Linked DNA regions of Alligator mississippiensis. The protein of the gene in region 1 interacts with the protein of each later gene in a pairwise test. Links are inferred from orthologs where the notes say so. Each region holds a gene or a part of one and is shown on either strand. Other genes may lie near its edges.

Evidence for each region.
Region 2: the proteins of LRRC7 (region 1) and NQO2 interact in a two-hybrid assay, tested with the Homo sapiens proteins (2 studies listed by BioGRID). The two-hybrid records come from large-scale screens. The link is inferred for Alligator mississippiensis from reciprocal best matches to the Homo sapiens genes LRRC7 and NQO2.

What each region holds. Positions count from the first base shown.
Region 1 is NC_081828.1:19,138,270-19,153,495, forward strand, and holds the start of LRRC7 (leucine-rich repeat-containing protein 7), read left to right. Parts: upstream 1-8,445; 5' UTR 8,446-8,740; intron 8,741-15,226.
Region 2 is NC_081826.1:121,013,869-121,029,171, forward strand, and holds the start of NQO2 (ribosyldihydronicotinamide dehydrogenase [quinone]), read left to right. Parts: upstream 1-8,325; 5' UTR 8,326-8,550; intron 8,551-8,687; exon of another isoform or gene 8,688-8,838; intron 8,839-8,851; 5' UTR 8,852-8,919; intron 8,920-9,155; exon of another isoform or gene 9,156-9,425; intron 9,426-9,454; exon of another isoform or gene 9,455-9,560; intron 9,561-11,930; exon of another isoform or gene 11,931-11,979; intron 11,980-12,110; 5' UTR 12,111-12,235; coding exon 12,236-12,263; intron 12,264-13,849; coding exon 13,850-14,020; intron 14,021-15,303. UniProt on the Homo sapiens protein: The enzyme apparently serves as a quinone reductase in connection with conjugation reactions of hydroquinones involved in detoxification pathways as well as in biosynthetic processes such as the vitamin K-dependent gamma-carboxylation of glutamate residues in prothrombin synthesis.

The DNA.
Region 1 (15,226 bases):
ACCCCTAATACCATGCCCCAAGCCTCGCAGATGGGAAAGATGTTGGTGTGTCTGCACGCCCGCTTCCCGGGCCCTTCTTCTATAATACGCTAGTCCCCTCTGGGACGTCCCCTTGAGCCGCCGGTCTTTTAGGCCCACCGCACCACTACCCTCTCTAGTACGGGCTTACCGCGCTGCTACTCCCCGTCCTCTCGGGGGCCACCGCAGCACCTTGCCCTTCTCTGGGATGCTGTACTGCTAACCCTTTCTGTCTGGGTCCACCGCAGCACCCTTCCCCTGTCCTGGGTTCTCCACGGTGCTAGCCTGTTACCAGGCTCGCTCCTCCTGTCCTGGGCTCCTCAATATCGCCCCGCTCTAGGGCTCCTCAATATCGCCCCCCCCCCGGGGCTGGGGTCTATGTACCCCACAAGTGACACCCTTGCTGGCGTCTGCTGCGCCTGTCCTGGGCTCCCTAATATGGCGCTCCCCCCTCCTCGGGGCTCGCCGTGCCCACCTTGGGCTCCTCAATAGACCAATATGGTGCTCCCCCTCTTTGGGGCTTGCTGTGCCCACCTTGGGCTCCCTGATAAAATTGCCCCTGTCTCTGGGGCTGGGGTCTATGTACCCTGCACACAGCCTGGGGTCCGTGTCCCCCGTCCGCAACCCACTGGTTGCGCTCCTCACTGCCACTTGTACCTGCACTGGCGCGTAAGCTGCACCTTCACTGGCGCTGTGAGAATAATGCACCCTCCTGGCGCTAGACTGTGCCCTCACTGGCGCTGGGGCACCCCACCCCTATGGGGTCCCTACGAGAACACTGCGCCCTCCTCAGGCGCTGGGGCCCCCACACTCTCTGGGGTCCCTATGAGGCCTCCTCCAACCCCTACAGCCTCACCCAAGCCTCCGGTTTGTAATACATACACTAACCAAACAAAATACAAGCCTCCTGGCTGTAACTTAACTCAAGGCTGCCTGGCTGCAACAACATAGCTCCTGCACCACAGAGCCACCATCCTTCAGCCTGCTCAAGCAATACCCGCACCTAAGCCTCATGAACTCCTGCCTCTCTGGCTGCTGGCAGGGAACTGCCAGCCTGGCCTCAGCCCTGGGCTTTATAAAGGCCAGGCCCTGCCCCCTTCTGGCCAGCTGAGCCTCATCAGTTGCGCTGGCAACCTGCAGCTGCGCTCATTAGGCTCTGCCAGGTCTCTCTCCCTGGCAGCTTTCCCCTCTCTAGGAGCAGGAGCACCGAGGTGCCCTGCGACACATAGCAAAGAGGTTTGTGGCACCACAAACTGCACGTGCCTGCACATCTTGATCCAGCCCACAGCTCTGACTTTTTCTCACTCAGTAGTTGCCCTTTGCTGTGGAGTTGTCTGTGATTTGCATTCATTTGGGTAAGAAGCAAAGCCTTCCAACCATGTGATGTCTTGTGAGATTTTTGGGAATGTCCTGCAGAATATAGGCTGAGAGGCCAATGACTCCACACTAATACTAGACTCTCTTGTCAATGGATGTCATCATGGTTCCTTCAGGAGATACATTTCTGTAGCCTCTCTGCTCAGACTTGCTCTAACATTCCCTTGATGTTGAAGAATGTAGTATGTATAGGATAATGGTAACTGGGGTAATGCTAATGAGCTAACAATAAAATTCTTCTGTTTCCAGGGAGATGATACCATGGAGAAACTCTCTCCTGGCTCTCACAAACCTGCAGCAGTCAGGTTGCATGGGGTTTACATCAGGATGGGTCTTGAGTGAGTACAGAGGATGTGGGACTGTGCCATGTTAACTCAGACCCCTCCTTCTAAAAGATGTTTGGCTGAACTATGTTCTGCACATCATGTTAAGGCAGTGTGCGCCGCATGCTCTATGCATGCTGCTTAGCATGTTAGTTAGTTAAAGCTGTATAGGACATTATGTACAACAGAATTTAAAAGCAAAGGTTTATTCTTTCTTCTGTTGCTGAAAGAAATCCCATGTACAGATAATAATTCCTTTAGTTATGAAATGTAGGTAACTCTGGTGGGATCATAGGACATGTACAAAATCAAGGCTGGTACTACCCTACAGGCAGAATGGATGGTTGCCTAGGGAAGCATTATATTTCAGGTAGCAGAATGTTCCATAACTGTTTTTGTGTGGGTGACTGTGGGCTGATGGGGGAAGACACATGCTGATTTTTCAAGCCTAGCAAATCCCCATGAACAATATGAAATCAATTATGTAACTAAGGCCAAGTCTACAGTAGAATAATTGTGATTGTTGTCAACCTCAAGCTGGCTGCTAGACGCAAACTGTTGATATCTACAAGAGAAAGTATGATAGAGTTTTGGGGCCTTGGGGTCCATCAGGCCGACTGGGATCTTTGAGCCCTGCTTTTCTTTCCCTGGAACCCTAGTGCACTCTCCCACCTCGCCTGCCATGCTTTGATGTTTAAAATGATAGATTTAGAGACTGCTCTCAGGTGGCTAGGTTATTAGTTTGATCCTCACTTCCTAATGAGGGAATCCTGATTTTTCCCCTCACTCTTTCTCTTTTTCCTGAGCTCCGTAAGCCTTGCAAGACTTGGGGCTCCTCAGTCCTCATCAGGTAAGTCCATTCCGTTCTTATCAGCTGAACGACCTGCTCAGTTGCAGCCTTTTGCCCTTAGTTCTTTGGACCATGACCCTTGCCTCTAGGCTTACCCTCAAACACCATCGCCTCCTTCACCAAGCATTAGTTCACAGCTATGGTCAGTGCTGTGGCAAGGAAGTTTGATGCCTGGAGCAAAGCCTGCAGGAGCAGCCCACCCTCGCCCCATGCACAGATCTCTGCGATGCTTGCCTGGGAGTGCACGCAGCAGCGGGAGCTGCCCTCCCCCATCCCCACGCCGCACCCAAACAAGCCACTTGCAGCTCCGTCCCACACCCCGCTCTGGCTGAGCAGCACCTGTTGGTGACCCTTCACTTTGACGTCTGTAGCGGTTGCCCCACTCACCCCCACCTTGCTATGACACTGGCTACAGTTGTCCATTCTTACAATTCTGCTGGGGGTTTTTGATGGTCCCACACTCTTTGACCTGGGCTCTGAAATGCAGTAACAGAATTGGGTGGGCAGGACATGGGTTGACATGTTCAGTCCTAATCTCAAGGTCTGCCACTGATAAAGATAGACAAGCTATCCATGTCCAACTCCCCTCCAAAGCAAAATGGCTCCAGGAACAAGCTGCTGGTTTAGTACAACTGTCATAGAATACTAATGGCCTTACATTTTTTCTATAATCATTGCTTAACTCTTGTCCACACTGCAACCAAGCCATTTTGAAATCTCATTGAGAAAGAGATTTGCATTCTTTCCTGCCCATGGCAGGGAGTCAGACTTGAATATCTGCTCAGGTCCCTTCCAACCCTACCAACCCTACCAACTATGAAATGTCCTCAGAATGACTTTTGTTCTTTAACAGGATATTTCCTTAATATCAATCCAGTTTATGGCTCATACTTGTGGGGAGATAAAAAATGGGAGGGGGGGGAGCATAAACATAAAATCAAATTTAAGAAAAGCTCTATCTAGTAGCAGAGATGGGCAGAAAATGTTGAATGCCAGGTGCAGTTCCTGTGTTCTAGCAGATTTTGAAACACTTCAAAACTAGCATTTAAAAAGGGCACCTGCCTGATGTTCGCACTAGAATAACTTGCCAGCTGCAGTAATTGCTCTATTAAAACACCAACAAAATCTGCACATCAAAAACAATAAATCTGCAAGATCCCAAATGCCCTTGCAGACAGTATACAAACTTAAAGAAAAGCAAAGCTAAATTATCTCCTGCCTGAGACCTACAAACAGTGACCTCCTGCTTCATCTCATCATATGTATTAATCATGTGTCCCAAGGACTGATAGATAATGACCTCTTCTTCTCACAGATAGTGGCAGAATGTCTGTATTCCTTTCCATGGAGCTGTTGGCCATAACATTGCTATTGTCTATTCTCTTCAGGGAAGGAACAGTCTGATGAGAGATCACTAATCTGTCTTTGCAGGGAACTCATAAAAAGTAGTGATAGGCAACTCCTCCTCTGCAGCTGGAAGATGCACCTGAGGCTCTTCACAAAAGTGAGTCTTCTTCCCACACTTTTAAAATTTACATGAAACCTTTGGGAGACACCCTGATCTCAAATGCCAATAATATGCAGATAATATCCCTCCATCTTGTTTAAGTCTAGTGCAGAAAGCCCCAGATCCCAGATATTTATCTGCCTGTCCAGATAAGGAGCTGGGTTAAATTGAATTTGGGCTAAGAGGCAGGATGATGGTGGTGAAAGGGAGATGTTTTGAAGACCCAGTGGAATCACAAATATATCATTGCTCACTGAGCACAGTGCCAACCATGAGTAGAGAGTAGGTAATTATGTTAGTCTGAAATCATCTGATGACGTACGCTGATGCTTACTAAAGCTTATGCCTCCATGAACCAGTTGGTCTCTAAGGTGCCACCCTGCCCTGCCTTCTGCCATTCTTCACTGAGTTAGATTATCATATGGTTCCACACTGCTCTTGAGCATGCAGATATCCATAGCTAGAAAACAACATACTTTCCCTCTACAATTTGCTGAGAGACTTCCCATTTAATCATGGACAGATCCAGGATTTCCTAAAGGGGGTGGGGGGTGCCATACCACCTTTCTGACTAGAGGGGAATGGCGGCAAGGCATGGCTGGAACTGGTGAGGGACACTGGGGAGCCAGGAAGGGAGCAGGTGTTTAAAGTGGGAGAGGTCTGGCCCCATCATTGCCTCTATCCCTGGCTGACCTAGGGGCAGGGGTGAAGCCCCAGAACCACTTTGGTCTCATGCTGCAGGGAGCAGCTGTGCAGAGACCTGGGCCCAGCTGCGGGCAGCAGTAGAGGCAGGGCTTAAGTTTCTCCTTCCAGTGCCTTCTCCCTGCTGCCCCTCTCTCTCAGGGGTCCACTGCTGGGCAGGAAGAACCTGCATTCTGCTGCTGCCACTTTTCCTTGCTGAGCCTGGCTTCCTGTAGAGCTGCTGCCTGCAGCCCAAGGCAAGAGTGGAGCAGGAATAGCTCTGGGGCTTCCCTGCCCTCCAGATCAGCTGGGGACAGTGGTGGCAGCACATGGGTTCCTCCTTCCAGTGCCTGCTTCCAGGGACCACCTGCAAAGGAGGGGCAAGCAAGGAGCTGGAAGGAGAAACTTGCGTGCTGCCACTGCTGCTCTCCCCTGGCACCTTGCACAGCCACGGTCCCTGGCTGGAGCAGTGTGGAAGTGGCTCTGGGGGTCCCCCTGAACTTGGTTCAGACATGAGCTGCAGCAGAGGTGGCAGATGGGGGGTGCATCCACACTGCCACACCTCTGCTTTTACCTCTGAAGCTTATCAAATATGGCCACAGTGACCCACACCTCCCTGATCTTCAGGCTGAATTGTTCCAGCCCACTATATTTAAGTATGAACATTTCAGCTCTAAAAGAGCTTCAGTTAGTAGCAGCTATTCCTCTCCCAAGGATAATTGCTACTAAGAAGGTATATCACAACCAAGAGCTCTTCTCAACCATGTAGGCTCCCTAAAGAGAACTAGGTCAGGATGAAGGTCTCAGTCTTGGTCTTCAGGGCCATTCATGGAAAAAGTTCAAGATACCTCAGACAGTGTCTCTCCATAACAGCACGTTACACTTTCCTCAGGACTAGGGTACTGTCAATCTTAGGAGGGGGGCTTGTGAGAGCACAAGACAGCTTTCTCTGAAGTTGGGCCCTAGCTTTACATTTTAATAGGGATTAAAATGGCCAAAAATCTCACTGCCTTCAGGGAAGAGTGCAAAGTGGTAGAAGGAAAGGAAGGAAACATCTTTAAACAAGTAGTCCCCTGCTGCCTAGAGGAAAATGGAGAAGAAAATTTGACAATTGATTGCATATCATTATACTGTCCATTATTCTGTGGAAGCTATTAAACTGGTGAGTGCCATTATAGGATTCTAGATAGGTATGTGGGAGGGAATAGGGCAGAGAAGAGGATATTAATGATGTTCTTTAAGCTCCTGGACTGGGCAGGGAAGGGAAAGATTTGCTTGGCGTTTGGCATTATGAGATCTACCCCTCACCAAGTAAATTTCAGGGATGGTCTTAACATATGAGGAAACTCGATGCAACGGGGCAGAAGCTCTATACTACCTGTATACAAAGCTTGAGGACTGCAGCCTACCCAGCTCAACCTTCTAGACTGGGGTGGGCAAAGTCCAGCTCCTGGGCTGGATTGGGCCCACCGCAGACTTCATTTCCCAGCAGCCCCAGCCCACATCACTGCAGCTGGTTCCCATGGAGATGCAATAGTGGTGGCATCAGCATGGGACCAGGATTTCCATGGAGACCAACCCCAACCCTGGCAGGGCGCCCAGCTGGGCAGGGAACTGCTCTGAAGCTGGGGCTGGGATCTTGCAGTGGTGACAGTGTGGTTCAGAGCCAGAGCAGAGCTGTGATCTGCTGCCCACACTCCCTGGATCTGGGAGGGGGAAATGGGATACCTGGGGTGTGCAGGCAGCGGATCGCAGCTCCGGACCACTCTGTCACAGCTGCAGTATCCTGGCCCTGGAGCAGCTCCCTGCCCAGCTGCATGCCCTGCCATTGCTGCTGGGGCCCATCTCCATGGAAACTGCAGCAATGCATGCAGAGGCTGCTGGGAAATGGAGTCCAGCCATCGGCCAGATCTGCTATTTTGCCCACCTGTTTTAGATGTACCTGTCATCTCTAGATGGGTGTGGGGAGACTGGGGTGAGATGAACACTGGAAGCTCCATACTAGGTCAGACTGTATGTCCATCTAATCAGCCATAGAGTCATAGAGAAGTAGGGCTGGAAGGGACCACCAAAGGTCATCTAACCTAACCCCCTGCCTGCTGTGGGGTCATCCCTATCCATACGAACCATAATCTAAACCGTACATAAGATTTCTGTCAAACCAGATGCAACACAGACATAATATCCTAACCTGCCACAAAATAGGGGAACCATGGCAGCCAACGTCCTACTTCTGTGAAAGGCTGTCAAGAGGTCTGGGGGTAGAGGGCCATGCCCCCAGCTACAGAGGAAGGCAAACCCCTCCCGCACCCCCACAGTCCATACTAATTTGAACATGAAGTAAAATTCCTTCCTGACCCTAAGTATGGTGTTTGTCTGACCTGGACTGGAGGAGCAAAACCCTTTAGCTAGGAACCTCTGGCTTTGGTCCCTAGGCTATATCCAACACCCAATGCCTCTGGGAAGGGATAAAAAACACCCCAACACACATAGCAGAGGAGGTGGGGGGAGTATAGGGCAACCAGCAAAGCCCAGGAGCATGGGAAATACCCATGGTAGAACATAAGTACAGACAGAAGTGACAATTTTCACCCAGTCTGGCTACAGAAAGCAGTTTATAGGTGTGACCAAACCCAAGTGCAAAGCTGCAATCAGCTTAAAAAATGTCCGATCAGGTGAAAATCTGACCCCTCATTGCCTGAGGCATCAGATAAAGACTGTTCAAAATGTAGCATCTTGTGTAACTTGTGTCTGCAGAGCTCCCAGCCTGTTGCTGTTTTCAGAACGGGAGGGGGGGGAAGGGAGCAGAGGTAATTCAGTGGTGGGGGCGAGGGGGGGCGGGGTGGTTTTAGCCCCTCCACAAGGTAGGCTGGTGTCTTGGAGCCCCCCCAAGATGTGAGAAGACTCCAGTGCACCCACCCACCCACCCACCCTTCAGAAAGCCCCAAGACAGAGCTCCCTCCGCTGCTTTCCCCCCCTCCTGTTCTGAAAACAGCAGTCCTGGCAGTTGTTATGGGAACCTGGCTGCAGGCCCACAGCTGGATTCCCTCCCCCCAGGGACCAACGGTGAACTTTGTGCCGTCGGGGTACATGATAGCTCAGAGCCCTTTGCAGAAATCCTTCTGCTACAGCGGGGAGCTGCACGTCTGTCTGCACCCGTAGGCCAGGGGCTTGTGCAGCCTGTTCCATTCATGATGGAGAGTCCACAGCTCCCTTGTTCCGCTCGTCCCGTAGCTTGTCCTGGAGACTTCAGGGGACACAGGACATCCCACAGCGGAGGGTGTGACGTTGTCTCGTCCAGGGGCAACCCCAATCCTCTCTGCTAGGGCTTGTTGGCAAGTCCGGGGGCTCCTTCCTCCTGCAGGGGAAAGGAGGAACCAGGGGAGCCCGGAGGCAACAGCCCTACTGTGGCGGGACAAGGGGGAGCCCAGAGCGGTGCGGAGGCGGGCAGCGCCGCCGAGGGCACGAGCCGCGGGCGGGCGGGGAGGAGACACCTGCGGCGGCAGGGGCAGGGGCAGGTGGCGGCGGCACCACCCCCGTCTCCCGGCGGCAGCGGCAGGATGCGGGAGCGGGAAGAGGCGGCCGCTGCCTCCTCGCTACGGCTCTGACGCGGAGCGGGAGGGGGCGGGGGCGGAGGCGGCGGCGGCGGCACTTCTCGCAGCGCATCCGCCCTAGCGGGAGACGGCGGCCGCTGCTCGTGCGGCTCCGGCGCGGGGGAAGGCAGCGCGGCTGCGGGCGCCGCTCCCGGCCAGGCATCGCGCGGGCTCCGCCGGGGAAGGCGTCGGCTCGGCCCGGCCTCGTCGTTCCGCCATGGCCCCCGCCGGCCCGGCCCCGCCGGCCCCCGGCGCACCTGTGCGCGGCCCCCGCCGCCGCCCCGCCCGCGGGGCCTGAGCCGGGGAAGGGATTTACGGCGAGGAGGCAGCGGGCTCCGGGCACTGGGACTAGCTGCATCGCTGCAGGCTCGGGACGGCGTCCGCCCCCGCGGTGAGTGCGGAGCGGGGCGCGGGGGGACCGCGCACGTGTCCTTGAGCGGCGGCGGCGGCGGCGGCGGCTCGCACCTGCTGCGGCGGGCGGGCAGGGCAGGGCAGGGCAGGGCGGGGGCGCACGTGCGCACGCGGGAGGTTGCGGGAGGCGCTGCGGCGCGGGAGTGGGGCCGTGCGGGCCCGGGGCTGCCTGCGCAGAGCCCGCGGGGCGGGGCGGGGCTGGGAGATGCGGGCAGCCCGCGAGCCCGGGGCAGCCCGCGCCTGCTGCTGGCGGGGCGCGTGGGCGGGGAGCTGGTGCCCGGTCCCTTCCCGCAGCCGAGGAGCGGGGGAAGCTGACAGGTGCCTGGGCGGGGAGCGGGGGCGGCCGGGCCGGCCCGGGCCGTGTGCCCCCCGCCCTGTGCGCCAGGGAGATGCCGCTGCCGGGGAGCGCGCGCGGGCCGTGTGGTGGCGTGGTCTCCTCCTGCCCCGTGGCCGTGCCCGCGGTCGCAGCGCCTGGGCGCGCAGCGGGATGCCGAGGTGGTGGACCGAGGGATGTTGCCACCTTGCCAGGAATAAAGGCTTCGTTTCTCTCCCCGCGGCCTGGACTTTGTCATGCCCCTTATAAAGCCATTGTCCTTTTAAACCCGGGGCTGCAGGGGGAAGTGGAGCCTTAGGGCTGTGAGGGAGTAGTTGCTCTTACAGCCTCAGCCGGCGAAGGACGGCGAGCCTGAGCCAGCCTGTTCCTGCTGAAATCCCTGCACAACTGGTTGATTGCAGAGAGGGGGGATTGTTGGTTGGGTCCTGTGTTTAGGCTCGCTGGGCCTGGTCCCCTTCCAGTGAGCGTGCCAAAAATACTCTATCGGCTTCTATGGATGGACTTTATTGTGGGACAAAAGAGAAGAGAAGCAGCCCGCTTTGTTGAAATTAGCACGTTTAGTTACGTTTTCCTTTTTTCTTTCCCTTGGAAGGTGGCCTAATGAAAGGTTAAATTAGCGGGATTACTATGTAAAGTGGCTTGAGGTCTGGCAGATAGGTATTAGCACACATATTATTTTCATCTTGGATGCTTCTAACATAGCCATCACTATCATAAATTCCTATAATTCTCCTTTTGTACTTGTCCTGTCGCAGCCAGCCAAAAAATCTCAATTCATTAATTCCACCCCGCCCCCCCCAACCTGAGCTGTTACAGATAGTCATAATGTATGAGAGATGGTAATTTGATGCATATACATTGCACGTCAAGTGTTTCTATGGTTGTTACATGATCAAGCAAGAGAAATAACTTGCATTGGTAGGTATGTGGGTGTGTTATGCATCTATTTACTCTGATATTCAGGCAAAGATGTCCTTACTATGGCAACCCCTACATCAAGTGTTATACTGCATGTAGTGTTTCAGAAATAGCAGCACCTTCTTAAAGAAATACAAACATTAACCTGTCAAACTAATTACAGCACTACCCATGTTAATGCATTGATGGGAATAATGTGTCTTTGAAAACTGACCCATTTCTGTCCAGAATTTCAATGTTGCTTTTAGTATATACATGCATTTCATTTTATACTTTTTTGTTATATTTTGATGACAAAGAATGGCAAAAACAGCCTCTAGGTAGGTTTTTGTACTTTGCTAGCAAAAATCATTTTTCAAACAATTTATATTTTAGGGTCTGCATGAATTTAAGAGGGCCTTTTGATCCAGGTCTTTGATAGGCACTAAAAAGATTTTTAAAGTTGTTATAATTGCAGGGAACAACCCCCTTTCTGGGTGTATAGGCACTTTTACCCTTTGCCAATTCTTAATTTGTACAACTGATCATTAAAAAAAGTGTAAACAAACATCATTTACTGTTAAGAAAGTAATATCTCAGAAATATGGAGTAGTTGTGTTTGTTTTTTACTGAATAGAGTCTTAAAACTGAATTACACATGCACAGATATTAATATTTCTCTGCATGTTTCCTAAAGTAATTTGTGTTATCAGTTAATGAAAGTACCATGATCACGTCTTAGAAACTGGAGGTATATAAAAGGTGTTTAAAAATAATACTAATACTTGTACTAAAAATGGACAATTGTATTTGTAGATGTTCTAGTTGTAGAGAACTGAACTACTCAAAGCTTGTTACAGTCATGAGCAACATGTATGATTCATGGTATAAATCCATCTTTATAAGCAATCTATTGACTTGTTTGTCAGTCAGGTATATCAACAAATTTAATTATGAAAATTTCTGTTAATTATTAACCTTTTATAAATGGAGCCTAAATAGAAAGTTTGATGATTGTTTCATATATAGTTCTCTTAAAATATTCTGTAATGATAAAACCACAAAATCTCAGATTGGAGGGACTTCCTCATATCTGGGCAAAGAACTGTTTATATACAGTGATCTTAAAATGTATCCAAACAATTGGAAGTACTGCATTACATTTGAAGTTTATAATAAGCATGGAAAATTAAGGTTTAGACCACATGCCTGAGTGGCAGGGAAAGGAATTCTCTTCTATCCCAAATGAGCCACTAGCCATCTGTGGGAATGCTCCAGGGAGACGACTTCAGTCTCTGGGCAGAAGAAGTAGCCTTCTTGATCCCGGTAAATGCTTCGGCGGCTGCAAGTTAGAGAATCTCCTGATTCTCATGGTTCTTTCCTTTAGCCAGCCCATTTCTGCATTTTACAGCAGAATAAGTTCTCAGCATGTAGGTCTCTTTGTCCCTTGGGGATGTACATCCTTTGCATGTTTTTTTTTCCAAATCTGCCAGCAACATTGCAGCGAGGCTTTCTTGGCCCTCTTTGACTGTAGAGGTTGTGGTGATGGGTCCGAGTTTGTCTCTTACTATAGGAAGTAATGCAGAAATAATTTAAAAAAGATATAATTTCTCAGAAGATGTTACTATATCTGAGATTTCCATTGCCATTGTCTTCCATACCTCTTAGAAAAAGGCTTTCTTTTAATTCAGGGTAAACTTTACAAATGGTAACTCTTAATTGTACTTTGATATAATAAGTGCCATTAAATACATGGGAAAATGTGTCATATATTAAAAAACATTTTTGTTTTGAATAAAAAAATGGATCTAATAGACCATTACAGGTAGGGTATATGAGAAATTGGGGTACAATTGTACCAGGTCCCCAAAATTATGAGAATTGCAAGTAACATGAGTGTAAATAAAATAAATATACACTCTCTAGAAATTTATTTTAAAACTTATGGATTCAGCTTAGAATTCAAATAAAATAATCTGTTTTCTGTTTCCAAAATGGGAGGTGGGGAAGCAGGTCCCAGAACCCCAAATTTCTCTCTCAGGCTGTGGTCACATGTAGTTTGAGAGAGCAGTGGTTTAGCTTGAAAGGATTTAAGACGTATTTAGAACGCATGTTGGTAGCCATGAAAATGTAATGGAGACGTTAAGCTGTACAAGGATTGGAATCACAAGGTTGAAAGTACATCAAGTGTCATCTCCTACCCACAGCATAGATTCAAGAGTCCATTCTAGATGCATAAAGCATCCTGTATTGATGCCTGGAATGCCATCCTCTTGTTGAAAATATCCAACGAAAGAGGTTTCACAACTTCCTTGGGCAGGCTTTTCCATTGGAAAAAAGCTGTATCTGAGATTTGAGAAGCTGTACTTGACATTTGATGAAAAACCTGCTTCTGGTGTAATTTATCACATTATAGAGGCTGCAGTTTTACCTTAAAATACAAATTAGTGGTCTACTATAAATACATAATAGAGGCAGTGGGTGTGCCTGTTGGACACACATGCCAATCATCAGTATAAAGATCAGGAAGGATAGAACAGAGAGGAAAGAATAGATAGTTGCGCATGGTATTGTGTGAAACTCCACACAATACTATGCTTGGTCCTAAGAGAATAAGCCACCGTATGGGAGAGGCAGCAATAAAGAACAGTATATTTCTACACAGCGTATGGGAGAGGCAGCAATAAAGAACAGTATATTTCTACACAGATGTAGAATGGAACAGTTAACTGTTGGGGGGCATAAAGAAAGAAATGAAGATCTGTAGGTTTGTGTGTCTGTCTACATTTTCTGTAATTTAATTAGTGCATTATTTAAGGTGGACTAAACCACTATACTGTTAGAGGAAGATGATTGTTGGGAAAGGCTACCTAACCATTTGCTGAAAAAGAAAAAAAAATAGAGATAGGATGATATCTAAAGCATATGTCAGTGAAAAGAAGATTGTTTTTCCTTTTCTTTTTTTAACCCCTGGTTCTTTTTAAGAAGGGATTGGGCAGTGAGTGACAGCCTACAAAAATCTGGCTTGCGTCTCAAAATTAGTTGCTAAAGCAGTGTGGTCGGTAATGTAGCAACAATAATTAAAATGTGTAAACTGATAAATAGGCACACTCCTTACTGCAGTCTTCAGTGTACCAGTTCTTTAGATTAATGAACAGTTGTACAGCACTTTCAAGAGATGAAGTGCTGACTGTTGTTATCCTTCACTGAGGTGCTCAAGTTTTAAATAGAGCTCCATGAAAACTACCATATCTAATTTTGGCATGGAGTACAAATAGGTCATTCTTGCCTGTTATAGCTTCAAATACATAATGTCAGTTTTTGAAAAAAAGTTATTTAAAAAAATAAAATCCAACAAAAAATTGAAAATTTGAACTTCTTGGGCATAACCAGACAAAGTCTATTCTCAGTCGCACTAGTATCAATTGTAGTAGTCACACTGGTGTCACAATGGTTTATACCTATGAAAATAGGCAGCGAATGGATTTCTTTTGACTTCTGCTGATGTGCTTGAAACCTGTTTTTCCACAATGGTACAAGCTAAAGGCAGAGACTCAGGTTTAACTTTGAACTTAAGTCTACTTTGATCTATTTTTCAGCTAACACTGATGTGTTGTAAGCAGTTTTATTTGAATATAGGAGTTGAGTTTTTCTAGTATTTAATTTTATTGACACCTTGTTGAACTCAAATGGAACATCTAGGGAATGTTACGGAAGAAATCGTGTTACCTTAGCTATACATTTATGTTTAACATGTTAAATGGCAGTATATTGTGTATATTGCCATCAATGGTGATATTATATTTTCTCCATTTTTATCACAGTAGAACTTTGAGGCCCCAATGAAGCAGGTGCTTTCTCTTATTCCTTATTTGACAACTAGTAAAAGGGGCACCCAATTTTTAAGACTTAGTTAACATTAGTAGAAGAATCAAAAGGAGTAGGAGAAAAGAAGTAATATCCCTTTTATGCATCGATCCAGAACCTGATCCAAAACCCATTTAGCTTGCTAGAATTCTTTCTGTGGACTTCAGTGAGCTTCTCATTGAGTGACTTGCTTGAGGTCACAGAAATTGTGGCAGAATCCAGGTATTTTAGGTGCAACACTTTGGCCACAGAACAGAATTTCCTAGGTTGAGACCTACTTTTATAGGAAACGTTTCTAGTGGACCGCTAATATTGTCTACATTTCTCTTACTTTTTCTCAAATTAAAAAAAAAATCAAGCTACATACACTGTATTTTGATATCTTGTCCAATTGTTTCTTGTTTCATAGTTGGTTGGGTCGGAAGGGACCTGAGCGGATCATTGAGTCCGACCCTCTGCCATGGCAGGAAAAAGTACTGGGATCAAATGACCCCAGTGAGGAGTGCATCTAACCTCCTCTTAAAGACCCCTGGGGTAGGAGCCAGCACCACTTCGCTTGGAAGTTGGTTCCAGATCCCAGCTGCCCTGACAGTGAAATAGCGCCTCCTGATGTCTAGTCTGAATCTACCCTCTGCCAGCTTGTGACCATTATTTCTAGTCACTCCTGGTAGTGCTCGGGGGAACAGGGAGTCCCCCAGTGCCTGCTGGTCCCCTCTGACTAGTTTGTAAATGGCCACTAGATCCCCCCTCAGCCTTCTCTTGTGGAGGCTGAACAGGTTCAGGTCCCTTAGCCTCTCCTCATAGGACCTGCCCTGCTGCCCCCTGATCATGTGGGTGGCCCTCCTTTGAACCTTCTCAAGGCTGTCCACATCCCTCCTGAAGTGCAGCGCCCAGAACTGGACACAGTACTCCAACTGTGGCCTGACCGGTGCCGCACAGAGGGGGAGGATCACCTTCTTAGACCTGCATGAGATGCATCTGTGGATGCATGACAAGGTGTGGTTGGCCTTCCTGACTGCGTCCCCACACTGTCGGCCCATGTTCATTTTGGCATCAATAATGATTCCAAGATCCTTTTCTGCCTCTGTGCTGACAAGAAGGGAGTTCCCCAGCCTGTAGGTATGCTGCTGGTTCTTCCTCCCCAGGTGTAGCACCTTGCTCTTGTCATTGTTGAAACCCATCCTGTTCTCATCTGCCCATCCCTGTAACCTGTTGTAATTTGTTGTATTTGCTTCCATATAAAGCTTTTTCAGGCAGGGACTATTTTTCATTTGTGTAAGACAGTTTCCAAACATTTATAAGCCTCCTTAATAATAAAAGAACAGTTTGACAAGTAAGAACAGAATCATGACAAAAGGGAGACATAGA
Region 2 (15,303 bases), on another chromosome or scaffold:
TCTGTCCCTAGCCATTTTGTATTTTTCACAGAAATAGCCATAATGAGTTCCAAACTGAATTAAAGGATCATCATAGTTAGGTCCTAATTCACTTTCATTTTTGGAAGAATATTTGGGGATGTACATTACATTTCATAGGTACATACTAAAAAATCACATGGAGAAATATATAGCAATGTCTTTCCCTGCCCCATTGCATATTAGCAACTGCAAAATCAGGTGTCCTCTGATTATAAGCAAAAAAAATGTTGTGTTAATAGTGAACTCTGAATGCACAGTATTAGTCTAGTATAATATTGGTAAGGCTCAGTGTATGCTGTAGCTGACTTTCTCTCTCAGACTTATGTCTATGTTTTCCATCACCTGTTGTAATGGACCATAAGACTGAGGATACCTGATCTCAGACTGTTGCAATGATCGTGTGTGCTTGGGCATCAGAGGAATTGACATGCAATTTTGAAAGTTGGGCCCTAAAACAGCCATGATTTGGAGGCAATAGACTGTGCTAAGTTAATATCTCTTCTCTAGATTTGCTTATTATATTATTGGTAGGGAACTATTTAATTTGCGATTTCACAGATTTCATGGAACCCGTGAAATTGGGCATTGTCCATGAAACCAAAAAAAAAAAGTACTCAAAATAAAATGCTAGCTCCCCAGTGGGAGCCAGCAGTCCTCATGGCCACTACAGCCTGGTCTCACAGCCCACTGGAGGGGAAAAGAAGGAGCCACCAGCCATGTAGGTGTGCCCCTCTCCCCAATCAGTGGTAAGGAGTGGGGCCACTAGGACCCCTTGGTCAATCAGCAGTGAAGGGCCACAAAATCAGCTGCACATACCACAAGGGCCCATGAAAATCCCTTTCGCTCACAGATAGATCCCTACATATTGGGTCCATGAAAGGCAACATTTGTCTTCCTGCTCATACAATCAGCTTACAACTTCTATTCCACTCCTGGCAGGAAATACAAATGTAAATACATATACTCAAAGTGAGTTTAGATATTCAGATTCAGTGCTGATTTATCCCATTGATTCAGTGCTGATTTATCCCAGGTTGAATTTTACCACCTACCTGGCATTCATTCAGGGTGGATAAATATCAATGCTTTTTTTTTTAAAAAAAGGATTTGTTTTTTACTTAAATGATTTTTTTATTTAATTTTTTTATTAAGTTTTTAAAAAAGCATCTTAACAAAAACAAACATAGTTTTAATTTAAGATATGTTAAAGCTCAAATATATCATCATGGAATATGGTTTATAACTTCTAATTATATACTATTTGAGACAATATATTCCTTTTGAGACAATATAAACCTTTTTAGAAGTTTTATAAATAGGTCAACAGGTCATGGACTATATTAGGGGCCCAATCGTATGGGGTTCCCAGAGGCTCCTTTATAGGTTAGTAAAGATTAAAGAAAACCACTCTACCCACCAGGACTCAGTGCTCAGTCTAGAAGATCCCATTAAGCATCTCTGTGATGCTTAGTTCCAGTTCTCAGACTGTGGATTTGTGACTCCAGAGATCATAGGCAGACAAGGTTCTTTGGGTAGATGTGCTATCTTTTATTAGACCAACTAAATAGTTGGAAAAAATGTTCTATGCAAGCTTTCAGGCAAAAAATTAAATCCACCCTGCATTCATCTGAAGCTCATATAATCCAGAGTCCTCAATCTTTACTCCTTAAGAGAACGCTAGTGTGAAAGGTACTGATTTGAAGTTCTTGAGGAATTAAGTTCTTATTCACAGGGCATATATAGCACAGGAAGAAATATAGCAGCAATGCCAGTTTCTTCATGTTACTGCACTAACAATGTACCACAACTCTGACCTGGAGGGAGTATCTCTGGGGTGATCTTCAATGTACTTCCAGGCCTCAGTGACACTAAGGCCAGTAGATGTGATAATTTTGCTGTGACACCTTTCTGTGGCCCTGGCTACTGGTCTGGTGATCTGGATCCTATTTCTGACCCTGCCATTAATTTACTGTGTAACTTTCAGGAAGCCATTGCACTTCCCAGTGTCTGCTTCCCTATGGCAAGGAGCATAATGACACTAACTTTCCTTTCTTAACCATCCTGAGATCTTTATAAATGAAAAATGCTATGCAACAGCAAACTTCTGCTTGAACAGTTAAAACAAGCTTCTACAAACTTGCATTAATAACTTGAGCTGGTTGGAACTTTTTTAACTAAATGTATTTTCATCTAAATATGCTGACTCATCCAAGCCAGTATGGTCTGTGGAGACGTATGAATTCAAATAAAAGTTCTCTACTGGAAGCAGAGGTGTGCCTATACACTTCTGCATAGTGGCTGTGTTGCCAGTGGCAGTGGCAGGTCAGCAGTGTAGCTGCTGCTATTTTTGCTCACAGTGCCCTACTCACTGCCCAAGCCTGTTGCTCCAGTCATGCCTTCTCTTAACTACTGTACCTACTAGAAGGTTTCTAAGTTTATCTTTCTGGATGCTGTAGTCACTACTGACAAGAGAAAGGAAGAGAGAGAGAGAGAGAGAGAACAAAATTAAAAACCTGATCTTTTCCATTGTAAAACAGTGATGTACAGACATTCAGAGAAATTTGGGTGGAGGTTAAATCAGGTTAAAAATGGTCACCTGATCTAAGGTAAGTTGGGATGGGAGGGTTAGCAGAGGGGCTTGAGTCCGTGGGCAAGCAGGGTCTGCAAGGGGGCTAGGAGGAATCAGGGGGTCTAGTGAGGTCCACAGGGAGGATTGGGGGGGTCCAGGAGGGTTTGGTGGGGGGGGCTAGCAACAAGGAGGGTTGGAGGCAGTGGGGGGGGGGGAGGCTTGGCAGGATTGGAGTGGCTCTCCAATCCTGCCAAACTCCCCCAGACCCTCCCCAGATCCACCCCAATGCTGCCAAACTGCCTCCAATCCTACAGACAACTCCTAGGGCCAGTTTTACTAGCATTCATTGGTACTAGGAGCCTGACTGAAGTAAGTGAAGGTGGGGGGAGAGGCAAGCAGATGCGGGGCTGGCAGCTCCACGGGGTAGGGGAGGTTTGGCAGGATTGGGGGAGCTGCTGGCTCTGCAAGGCGGGTTAGGTGCGTGGTGGGCGGTGGTTCTCTGCACCCCCAGGACCAGGGGCTATTTTTCACCCCCCATCCTCCCCACCCCACAATGAACAAACCCCACACTGAACCAATCCTGACTTACATCGATCATCTCTCAGCACTGGCAAATGCCAGTAAAAATGGCACTAGCCGCAGCTTGTGGGACTGGGGTTTTTTATGGACTGTGAGGCAGGGGGAGGCTGGCTGGTCCGCAGTGGGGGACTTTTCCATCTGGGGGTACAGGAAGGGGCCAGGAGGCTAAAAATAGCCCAGTACTGGGCTAGGGGTAGTGCTGGGAACTGTACAGTTAGATCAGTCTCACTGGACCCAATCTGAGTTAAACTACCTCTGAAGTATGGTTAACCTAGATTGGATTGGCCATTTTGAGACTGATCTAACCTTCCTGAATTTCTGTACAGTTCGCACTTAGATCAACCTAACTAGAGATCTAAGGGCAGTGACAGGCATGCAGCTCCCCGCTGTAATTCATGGCACTTCTGAATTACAGCAACCCCCTAATCCAACAGACATTTGCTGTAGGGTCCCAGGGGTGGGAGATTGAGCTCCAGTTGGGAGCAGCGTTTCTGCAGTCTCTCTTCCCTGAAGACAGCATCAGGTGTGGGGCTGAGCAACATCAGCTCAGCCCTGCTCTGGGTGTGCACTGAGAGAAGTTAATGAAGGTGCTCTGCTTTGAAGCACCTTAATCTGGACCCTCATATAGTGGGGGTTCAGATTGTCATGCAATCGGGCACTTTTAAAGCACTCTGCAGCAATGCTCTTCTGTCAGGGCATGGCTGTAGAGCACTTCAGGGAGCTAACTGCATGACAAAAAGTCACTTGTGTCAGCGCCTTCGGTTTCTTTCAGCACCCTAAATGTAAGGTCTGCACCTGGGAAACCTAAGTGAGATTGGGTATCCACTTTAATACAATCTAACCTCCCCAAATGTCCGTGTCCAGCCCAATTCTGACAGTTTTTTAATGAAAATGTTTGGTTTTCAGTCTGATATGGACCAAAAATGAAATCTGGAACAAAAACAAATGTTGAAAGCTCAAACCTGCAAGTTGTCATGAGAGAGAACTGTCATCCTCTTTCCAGCCTGAACTCCAAGTTCAGAAAAATACATCTTTCTTTTTTTTTTTTACGTCTCATCTCCTCCTCCTCTGCATTCTGTATCATCATACTATTCCTCACATCTTTTGAACTGTGCCTTCAAACTAGTGTCATGCATACAGGGAAAAAACTAACATAAAAGTTTCTCAGGGACAGGTAGAATATAGCGTGAGCTTGTTGATCTGTGTGCTAGTGCCTTCCCTTTGTCATCAGCTCTGTTTTGCTGAAAGCAATTCAGTGTTGCATGTGCTTTTGTAGCATTTGGTTTGCTAGGTCAGGTTCTTCTGCATCCAACATATCAACAATTGCTAGAGACACTCTCAGCAAAACTTGGCCATTCAAATGCTAAGTAGCACAGTATCTTTTTTGTCTCCCACTTCTGACTAGTGATCATACCAAAGCCTCCCACTTCATTGGTCTTTTTTCTCTGATGCTGTTCTCTACAAACCACCGACAGCCAGATTGTGACTGGCCCTGGAATGGAACGGGATGCGCAAGGATCTTTGAGTCCCAAAGCCTTGTCCCTTTCATGGGGCCTGACTGTTATCTTGGCATTTGGGGGAATGTGAAAACTATTTCCTCTATAGGCCTCAAAGAGCTCCAAGGCTGTAAACAGACATTGCATTTATTCCAAGAGAAAGCTTTTTGCCTTCAGACCCTAGAGATGTACAAGACTACCGTCCCATTTCAAGTCATTTTGAAGTATGCCAGATAAAATGCACTATCACTTTTTCCCTGGGACATTGTGGCTGTGCATCTGCAGTAAGATTGTTGTGAGCTATACCTAACAAGCTGGTGGGCTGTGTGCTCTCACCTGCCACCTAATGGCAAAGGCGCAGCAGTGCAACTTGGAGGGCCTGTGCTGCCCTTATATCAGGGGTGGTCAAAATGCAGCCTGAGTGCCAGATGCGGCCTGCCAGGCCATTCTATCTGGCCTGCGGGGCCCCTAAAAAATTTAGAAAACTAATATTAATCTACCCTGGGCTGCCTGTCATGTGGCCCTCAATGGCTTGCCAAAACTCAGTAAGTAGCCCTCTGCCCAAGATAATTGCCCACCCCTGCCTTATATTGATCCAGGTCAACATAAAAGAGTGAAATGATTAAAACTGCTGATATTTGGGTCTTCTCAGTTAATAGCCAGCAGCTAGGAATGGGGGCAGTTTATATGTAAACATTTACACTAGTGCTAAATGTTACTATACACAGCAGGTCCCATTGAGTTCAGTGCAAATATTTGTGTGTGCAAAGTAAACAAACAAGGTTCTTTGGGTGAATCTGATATCTTTTATTAGACCAACTTAAATAGTTGGAAAACAATTATTAAGCAAGCTTTCGGGTTCAAAAACCCTTCATCAGGCTAAGGAGGTTTCAGCACTTGGTGTGTGCTCTTCCTGGATGGAATGAAAAGTAAAGAAGGCAGAGGCTGGGCTGGTATGCATACAAGACAGGTAGTCAGTGAAAATGTAGATTGAGGAGTCAGTGGGTGAGAGACAGGCTGGAGTGTGGGGGAAGAGAAAGAAGGGAGATGAATAGTGGAGAGATACCTGGGGAGTCAGATGGCAGGCAAGTTATAATGTGTCATAAATCCAATGTCTATATGTAGTCCATGATTTTTAGTATCTGGGAGGTTGATGAAGTGGAATTCATAGGCTTGTCTCTGGGAAGTGTTTTGTAAGTTTCCTTTGAGGATCAGGACTGAGAGATTGGAGAGAGAGTGGTTGTCTTGTGAGAGAAATGTGCCCCCACCGGTAATTGGGTATTCTTGTCTTTGATAGATTTCTGGTGTGCGTTCATTCTGGTGTGCAGTTGTTGTTTGGTCTCTCCTACGTATTTTCCATCAGGGCATTTGGTGCATTGGATGAGATATATAACATTTCTGGAGGTGCAGCAGTAAGATGCAGGGATACTGATGGCTCTGTTGTGGGGTGTAGTAATTGTGGGGGTGGTGGAGATGTGTTGGCAGGTTTTGCATTTCTTGTCATGGCATGGCCTGGATCCTTTTGGTGTGTTCTGGGCTTGAGGAAGTTTGCTTCTGGTGATGAGGTTGGCAAGGTTCGGTGCTTGTTTGAAGGCTAGGATGGGTGGCTCTGGGAAGATCTTTTTAAGAATAGGGTCTCTTTCTAGTATAGGTTGCAATTGTTTGAGCATTTTCCGTATGGGTTCGAGGGAAGGGTGATATGTCATAACCAGCGGTGTGTGATTTGTGGGGGGGTTTCTTCTGTACTGCAGCAGTTCTTCATGTGGTATCTGGGTGGCTCTTTCAAACGTGCGATCTACCTCTCTGGAGGAGTGTCCTTGTTGGGTGAAAGCCTTTTTGAGATTGGTGAGGTGGCAATCCTGGGTGTTCTCTTCAGTGCAAATTCGGTGGTATCTGAGGGCTTGGCTGTATATCACAGCTTTTTTGGTGTGTTTCGGGTGATTGCTGGTTCTGTGCAGATATGTATGTTGGTCTGTGGGTTTCTTGTATAACGTGGTCTGTATTTTATCATTCTGGATACTGGTCATTGTGTCTAAAAAGGAGATATTGGTGCTGAAGTATTCTAGAGAAAGTCGGATGGAGGGATGGTGATTGTTGAATTTCTGATGGAACTCAATCAGAGATTATAGGCTTTCAGTCCAAATGATGCAGATGTCATTGATAAATCTTAAGTATAGCAAGGGTTTGATGGTGCAGTCCTTGAAGAATTCTTCTTCCAGGTGGCTCATAAAAAGGTTGGCATACTGTGGGGCCATTTTGGTGCCCTTAGCTGTTCCCATCATCTGGAGGAAGTGTTGATTATTAAAAGTTAAATGGTTGTGCATGAGGATGAAGTGTATAAGGTCAGTAATATCTTTGGGTCTGTATTCTGAGTTGTAATCTTGTCCCTGTAGATATGTAAGGCAGGCTTGGATGCCATCCTGGTGTGGGATGTTGGTATATAGGCTGGTAATGTCCATAGTGCCTAGGAGTGTGTTGCTGGGAAGGTGGTCTATGTTTTTAAGTTTCCGTGGAAAGTCTGTGGTGTCTTGGACAAAACTTGCTCTTTGGGTGATGAGCGGTTTTAGGATTGATTCAACAAAACCTGATATTTCCTCAGTTAGGGTCCCATGGTTGGATATAATATGTCTGCCAGGGTTCCCTTGTTTGTGGATTTTAGGGAGCATGTAAAAAGTCTGCAGGTTAGGTAGTATGGGGATCAAGGTCTGTAGTTTTTCTTGTAGTCTTGATGGAAATGATTTGATGGTATTGTTGAGTTTTTTGGTGAAAAGGGGAGTAGGATCTTCTTGTAGTTCTTTGTAGTAGGTGGTGTCAGAGAGCTGTCTGTTGGCTTCCTTTATGTAATCCTCATGGTTTAGGATGACTATGGCTCCTCCTTTATCTGCTGGTTTTATTACTATTTGGTGGTTAGATCTTAGAGATTCTATGGCCTTTTTCTCTGGTACAGAGAGGTTGTGGTGGCATCTGTTGCTGATTTTTTCATTGTTCATTCTTTCCCTGAAGCAGCCAATTTAGCGGTCAAGGTTAGGGTTTCGTCCACTGTGAGGTGTCCAATCTGATGGTTTTTGGAGTTTTTTGGCATTGATCCTTTCCTGAATGTTGTCAGAGGATGAGTTGTTGTTGGGAGTGGGTTCAGTTTGGTCATGGAAATATTCCTTGAGGCGGAGGCATCGGAAGAATTCTTCTAGTTCTCCACATTAAAGTATTTTATTAGGGTATTTTTCTGGACAGAAATTTAGACCTTTAGAAAGGACAGATTTTTCAGTTTTGGTAAGCGTGTGTGTGGAGAGATTGATAATATTTGTGGGTTGGTTGCTGGAACGGGGCAGAGCAGCTAGAATATACTGGGTCAATACAAATATGAACTCACAGCTGCCACATGTAAAAAACGTGTTGACTTTCAGGGATACATGTTGTAGGTGTACTGATCTAAGAATTATAGGCAAACAAAACTCCTGGGTTGGAGACAATATTTTTTATTAGACCAACTAAATAGTAGCAAAAAAAATTCTTTCTTTGCAAGCTTTCAGGACCCAACACCCTCCTTCCAAACGCCATTTGGAAGTAAACAAAGTACTTACATACATATAAGATTGAGGCTTTTGATCTGTAATTGTAGTCCTTCTGTCTGCAGGCATAAGATATAAATACCTCAAGTAATCATAAGCTATTAGTAAATATTTATTTAGCTATCTTTATTTGCTGTCTTTGTTTGATAATGCTCATCTTGCCTGAGTAGAGATTATGGAACAGATGGAACAGCAGGCCACATAGCCAATATTTATGATTTCTTTTTCTTTGAGGGGAGGGTTGCAGTGGTGCAGCCACACACCCCTTTTTGACTGGATGTCATCACAGGAGCATCCAGGGACTTTTTAAAAGCAGGTAAGAATCCCTCCCCCCTTGTGCTCAGAGACAGGTCCCCTCTCCTTCCCTTCCTTTCCCCTCCTCCCCAGCCTACCAGCTTCTGCTTCCCCTACTGCCCCCAGGGCTAAGGGAGGCTCTAGAGATGCCCCTGCCTGCTCTAGCTGGGAGAGAAGGAGACATGCCTCTGAGCCCAGAGTGGGAGAGGGGAATTTTTACCTGCTTTGAGGGTGCATCTGACATGCCAACTCACATGCACACCCTCCCTGGAGGAGTTCTGGTATTCAGAGCAGTAATCTTAGCCTCCGGGTATGTCTTTTAGGTCTGGATGCCTGTATGCACATGCCCATGGATGTCTGGTGGTGACTGTGGAGCACTGGGAGGCATGAGGTATGAAAAGAAGGAATATGTGTTGGGGAGGGGTGTGTGTGTGTTTGTATGTGTGTGTTGGGGAGGGGTATGGGAGGAGAGAGTGTGTGTGTTGGGGAGGCATACGGAAGGGGGTGCATGTGTTGCGCTATGGAAGGGGAGTGTGCGTGCGTGTTGAGGTATGGAAGAGGTGCGTGTGGAAGTCGGGGTGTAGAGGGGGGGCGGGTGCACGTGTGTCCGGGGAGTGCCTGAGCACAGCGCCGGGGAGGAGAGGGGAGACGAGCCGGGCTCAGACAGCAGCAGGAGAGATACAGAAGCAGCCCCCTGACAGGCTGGTGCTGGGGGCAGGAGCTGCCAGCATTCTCCTATTGGTGCGAGGCGGAGCCGGCACGGGGAGCAGGGGAAATCGGCGCCGGAAGGTTTCGCTTGCAGGCGCTAGTCGTGGCCGCGCCGCCCCCGAGCTCCAGCGGGCACTCCCCGCCCGCCTGGCCTAGAGCCGCGCCGCGCCGCGCCGCGCCCGGGAGCAGGTGAGGGGCGAGTCGCAGAAAGCGGCAGGCAGCGGTGCCTGGCAGGGAACCAGGACTTGGTGGGCCAACAAAAAAAAAAAAGCGCTTCTCGCCTTGTGATAGGGAGAGCAAAATAGCAGGCAGCTTTTAATGGAGGTAAGGGACCAGGTCCTTTGGTGTAGCCAGGTCTAGAGGGGAGGGGACTTGCAGAGGTTTCTCACAGGTAGGCCATTTTTCTAGATCATCAGCAGGATGGTTTGACCAGCTGTGACACGGAGGAGTCAGGAGGCTGTGTGAAAGACAGAGGCTTATCCCCCCTCCCCCGGCGCACATGCACGCACACTCTCTTCCTGTGGCAGTTTAGATAAGGGTTGCCCGTTGTCAGAGCTGCCTCCGGAGGCTGCGTAGCACATTTTATTGCAGTGCTGCAGTGACGCTGGTATCACGTATCAGGATGTTTCACGAAGTAACGATGTGGTTATTGCACACACAACAGTTTATTTCATAATTGTCCTCACTTCCTGAAATACTCTAGTACTAAACAGGACTCCAGGGGCTGGATTGTAACTAGGGTGACCATCATACTCTCTTCTCTGTTGATATGAAACCCGACGCCTTTGTGGTCCATGGGACCTTTTCAAGAGAAAAATACAGGACATAAAGGCATCGGGTTTCATGTCAATAGAGGACAGAGGACAACCAGACTGTCGTCTATGATGTCCACCCTAATTGTAACCTCCTTACCTCTGGGGAAGTATCTCATTCCACCTACTTCCCATGGATCTCAGTGAAGCTACTTGCAGGGAAAAGCAGTCTTTTTCATACTGAATAACATCTTAATTTAGCCTGTGAATTTAGGCAAATGCAGAAGAAGATCAGCTGGTGAAAACTTTAATGCATCTAGGTGAGCAGCTACTCCTAGAATTTAATGCATCTAGGTGAGCAGTACTCCTAGAATTTCATAGATTGCATAGACATTAGGGTTGGAAGGGACCTCAGAAGATCAAGTCCAGCCCCCTGCCCCAGGGGCAGGAAGTCAGCTGGGGTCATAGGATCCCAGCAAGATAAGCATCCAATTTACTCTTGAAGATGTTCAATGTAGGTGCTTGAACCACCTCCGATGGCGGACTGTTCCAGACCTGGGGGGCTCAGACAGTAAAGAAATTCTTCCTTATGTCCAGCCTGAAACAGTCTTGCAGTAGTTTATAACCATTCGACCACGTCATCCCTTGTGGCGCTTTGGTGAACAAACGTTTCCCCAGATACTGGTGGTCACCCCGATAAACTTATAGGTGGCCATCAGATCACCCCTGAGCCTGCGCTTTTCCAGGCTAAAGAGCCCCATGGCTCTCAGCCTGTCGTCATAAGGTCTGTTTTCCTGACCTCTGATCATGCGCATGGCTCTTCTGGGGACTCTCTCAAGCTTCTCCACATCCTTAGAAGTAGCCACTCAGCCAGTAAATTATGCACAGACCCAAAGAATCAGTGTTTTGGTTGCAAACAGCCTGCAGCCAAAGGCTGAGCATTTTGGGGGAGACTGAGGCTGAAACACATATTTCAGTACTGGTGTAATAGACAAAATGAGTGCTCAATGAGAATGCATTTCCACCATGTGTCAAGGCTGTTTGTTTCTTGTGAAGGATTTTTGCAATCAGTTTGAAAAACTATCAGAAAACTGGGCAACACCCATCAGTTTAATGTATGTTTTGCTTCAGGTAGACTGACGCAAAACAAGTTGTAAAATGCTGTTTTAACCAACCAGCTAAAGTCTGTTTAAAGATGGACTGGAACAGGGCAGAGCAGCTAGAGTATACTGGGTCAATACAAATATGAACTCACAGCTGGCACATGTAAAAAACACTTGTTGACTTTCAGGGATACATGTTATAGCTGTACTGATCTAAGAATTATAGACAAACAGAACTCCTGGGTTGGAGACAATATTTTTTATTAGACCAACTAAATAGTAGCAAAAAAAAATTCTTTCTTTGCAAGCTTTCAGTTCCCAACACTCTCCTTCCAAACACCATTTGGAAATGTAAACTTCATTGTTAGCCAAGAAAGAGGATTTTTTTTTCACCTCCTTGACTGATACCAGACACCTCCAGGGATAAAGCCTGCCTAATAATCAACAATCAGAAAGCAACTCTCTCACAAAAGGAGTTACCCAGGGGAAAAAACTTACATTCTCTATATCCCCTGTGCAAAATTAAATTTATTTTCTATCTGAGAGACCTTTTACAGTCTTTGAATTCTCCACAGCCTGAAGAAGGGTGTTTGGACCCAAATGCTTGCAAAGAAAGAAATGTTTTTGCTACCATTTAGTTGGCCTAACAAAAGATATCATCTCTAATCCAAGAGTTTTGTTAGTCTATACTTGTTGACTTTACCATTAGTGAGTCATGCATCCATCTGCAATTCATATTGCTAAAACAGGTCCCAGCTGGCAGGTAGGAGGGTCTGATTTGCAAAAAGCTGGGCTGCACTAATCCTCAGGCTGTGCTGTGTATTGTGATGCTTCTCAGTGGGAAAAAGATGTTTTTCCCTGAAAGTAGCTGCAGCAAGGTCAGTCCAAGTGAGTGAAGTGAGGTACTCGACCAGGAGTAAGAGGATACCACTGCACATCTTCATTCTCCTTGTAGATTTGGTGCAGTCTGTGGATTGGCATACTCACTGGATTTGTTTGTAACCCCCTTTTTGTTTCAGGCTTCAAATATTCAGCAAGGTGTACTAAGAGGAAAAGTGATATCTTCACTGGTGATTGCACTTCTCATGCGAGCAAATATTTAATTTGAAATTCTGGGCAATCCTGGATTTTCAAAAAAGACAAAATGACTCAGTGCTTTCAGAAAATGGCAGGTAAGAAGAGTTTGTTTTCTTTTGATTAGCTAGAACTATGCACACTGGATACTCAGAAATGTCTCAGTTAAGTGAGTATTCTGTTAGGGTCCTGAAGTAACATTAAATACTTAAATCACTTAGTCCCACCGGGCTTGAGTGCCCTTGAAAATTTTACCTCAAAGCTACAATGCTGAGTGCCCTCTGCTCCCTGGCAAGTGAAGCTGTCAAATCTTAAAGGATCAGGCCCTGAATACCAGATCACTCTAATCACTGAGTTCCCTTAACCATTCTCTGAGTAAGGCTTAGCAATCAGCCTCTTAAGCAGCAAATGGGTGACACTTTCACTGAAATTCTTGAATAATTTAGTGAGTAAAAAACTTTAATGGATTTATAATTGTATTAAGTCTATAATAGTATTTGGTCATAACATTTGGTGATTATAATGTCCTGTTGGCAGAGCTGATCCATAGTTTCACATAGGATGCTGCTGTATTCCACTCTAGTCAATAGATTGAGAAACATTGCTTCTTTATGTCTGACTGACTAAAGTGGCATTTGGGAAAGGGATAGAAGTCAATAGCTGTGGCTGTACATGAAAGCTCTAACTTTATCCTCATTATGATGGGGATCTGGTGTATTTATTCATCCTCTGGTTCTGCCACAGGTACTCAGTTCACCAGGCCAGTGTAAATAAGCAAGAAGATTTTAATTATTAACTCCATGCACTACAGCATTACACTCGGGGAACACGTAGCAGTTTTTGATGTCTTCTTGCCCCTCAGCACAGCAATTTCTAATTAATAGAGACCTACGAAAATTATGATTGTGTAATTTTTTTTGTGGAAACTGCAATTTTGGGTGGACTCTGCTTTTGGCAGGCTCACTGCAAAACAAACAAACAGAAAAAAACTACATGACTTACAGCAAGCAGAGAAGTCCTGCAGTCTTGGAGCATGGGGGAGAAGGCAGAGGGAGGAGTGGGGTGGGGTAGGGCAGGGCAGGGCAGGGCAGGGCAGGGCAAGGCTGCTCACAGCAGGAGGTACAGCCCCCTGCCTCCATCTTTGTCTGGTGCTCCAAGATTGCAGGGCTTCTCTGCTTGCCAGTAAGTTCTTTATTTCCCCTACCCCAGCAAGCCTGCCAAAAGTGGAGCCTGCTGCTTGAGTATGACCTGAAACTGTGGCTTTATTAGCCTAATTAAGACCATGGAAGCTATGCTTAATAACACCTGGATTAATGATTTCCCTGGGCTTAATTAGGGTAATTAAGATGCAGTTTTGGACCATGTGGCAATCTGCAGAGAAGGGCAGAACTACCAAGGCCCCTCCGCCAATCAGAAGCGTGGGGGTCCCCACCACACAGCTCATGAAAATGGTGACTGGTCCCATGATCTACCTACAAAATTGGCTGGCCGCTTCCTCGAGTTCCACAGACCCCTCCTGCACTGCAGCCACTGCCTATTTGTATTATCCCTGACCATAACATAATGGGTATTAAATGCAATTATTATAATTAACCAATTACTCACTTTGAGCTACTTGTCAGGGCCCTTTTACTGTCCATTATTTAAAATCTGTATCTCACTAACACATCTCTCTCTTTTTCAGCTCCAGGGAGAAAAGTACTCATAGTGTATGCTCATCAAGAGCCCAAGTCTCTGAATGGGTCCTTAAAAAATATTGCTGTGGAAGAACTGAGCAAACAGAGCTGCAGTGTCACAGTGTCTGATCTCTACTCAATGGAGTTTGAGCCAAGAGCCACAAGGAATGACATTGTCGGTGAGACTGACTGAAGTACATCTTAAAAAAAACATTTAACTCTCTCATTTATCTCACGTTACTTGCCAGAGCTAGATTGATGCAAACATCATATGCTATCTGTAAAACAGCTGAGGAGGCTTTTGGTAGAAAGCAATAGCTATTTGTAAAACCCTACTTCTTTCTTCCTGTGGACATTTTGTAAATGATGCTAATCTAGGAATCAAACACACGCTATTGAGTTTTATGAGATTTTTCTTTATTAACTACAGCAAGTAGCAAGTTTGGGCCCGTTAGCTTAAATAGATTGGAGGCTCTATATAATGTAAGTTTTAACTTAATTTAGTCCCTTTGGGCATGAATGTTTCTTATAGCTTGCTGATATTTGTGTTATCACCTTTATTCAAACCATGTAATCATCAGTGCAATAATAGATTTTTCTGAGAATAATCCATGTGCATAGACCAGTTTTGTCATCCACCAGGTATAAATAATTCTAATGGAATATAGTAAATCTGCCATCCCTATATTAGTGATATTAGTAAAAATTTGGAGAGAAACAATGGTGATCATACTAAACTTAAAATTGATTCATCAGTGGGCTGTTTTGGGGGCTTTTTGTTATCAAGAACGGCTTTCACCTCTGAAAAACTGGCTCTCAGCCCTGATATTCTAGTCTCAGGAATAAAAATACAGTGCCATACTATGACTCGGCTCAGCTGACAGCGGGCACATCTACACATGCCATTAGGAGGCAGTAATAAACTGTAGAGTTTATTGCTCCTCAGTTTATCACTCCCAGGAAGCTCCTGGGCCCATATTTGCACATTAGCCCAAACCACAGTACACTGAGCCGGGTTGCAGCAGCCCCAGCTTAATTGAAACTGGTCGGAGCAGCCCTATGTGCTGCAGAGAGGCTGGCTGGGGCATGAGGGTGCTTCAGCATGGGGCTAGTCTTCAGGCAGTCTCAGCATTGAAGCACCCTCATGCCCAAGCCAGCTAATCAGCATCTTGTATTTACAAGTACTACCCTTCTGTTGAGTTTATTAGTTTTCTGTGCCCTAATAGGGGCGCACGTGTAGACACTGAGATGTTTATTGTGCAGTTAATTAGTCAACTGTGCAGTAAACATCTTGTGTAGATGTGCCCAGTGTCTGCTAACCTAAAACCCACAACTGAAAGAATAGAGAAACTGCAAATACATTACAAAAGAACACAAAGAAGTTTGCATGATGTCTGAATCAAATGTCACAAATCCAGTCTTGAAAGGTGCTAGCATCCTCAGCTCGCACTGACTTTAGTGG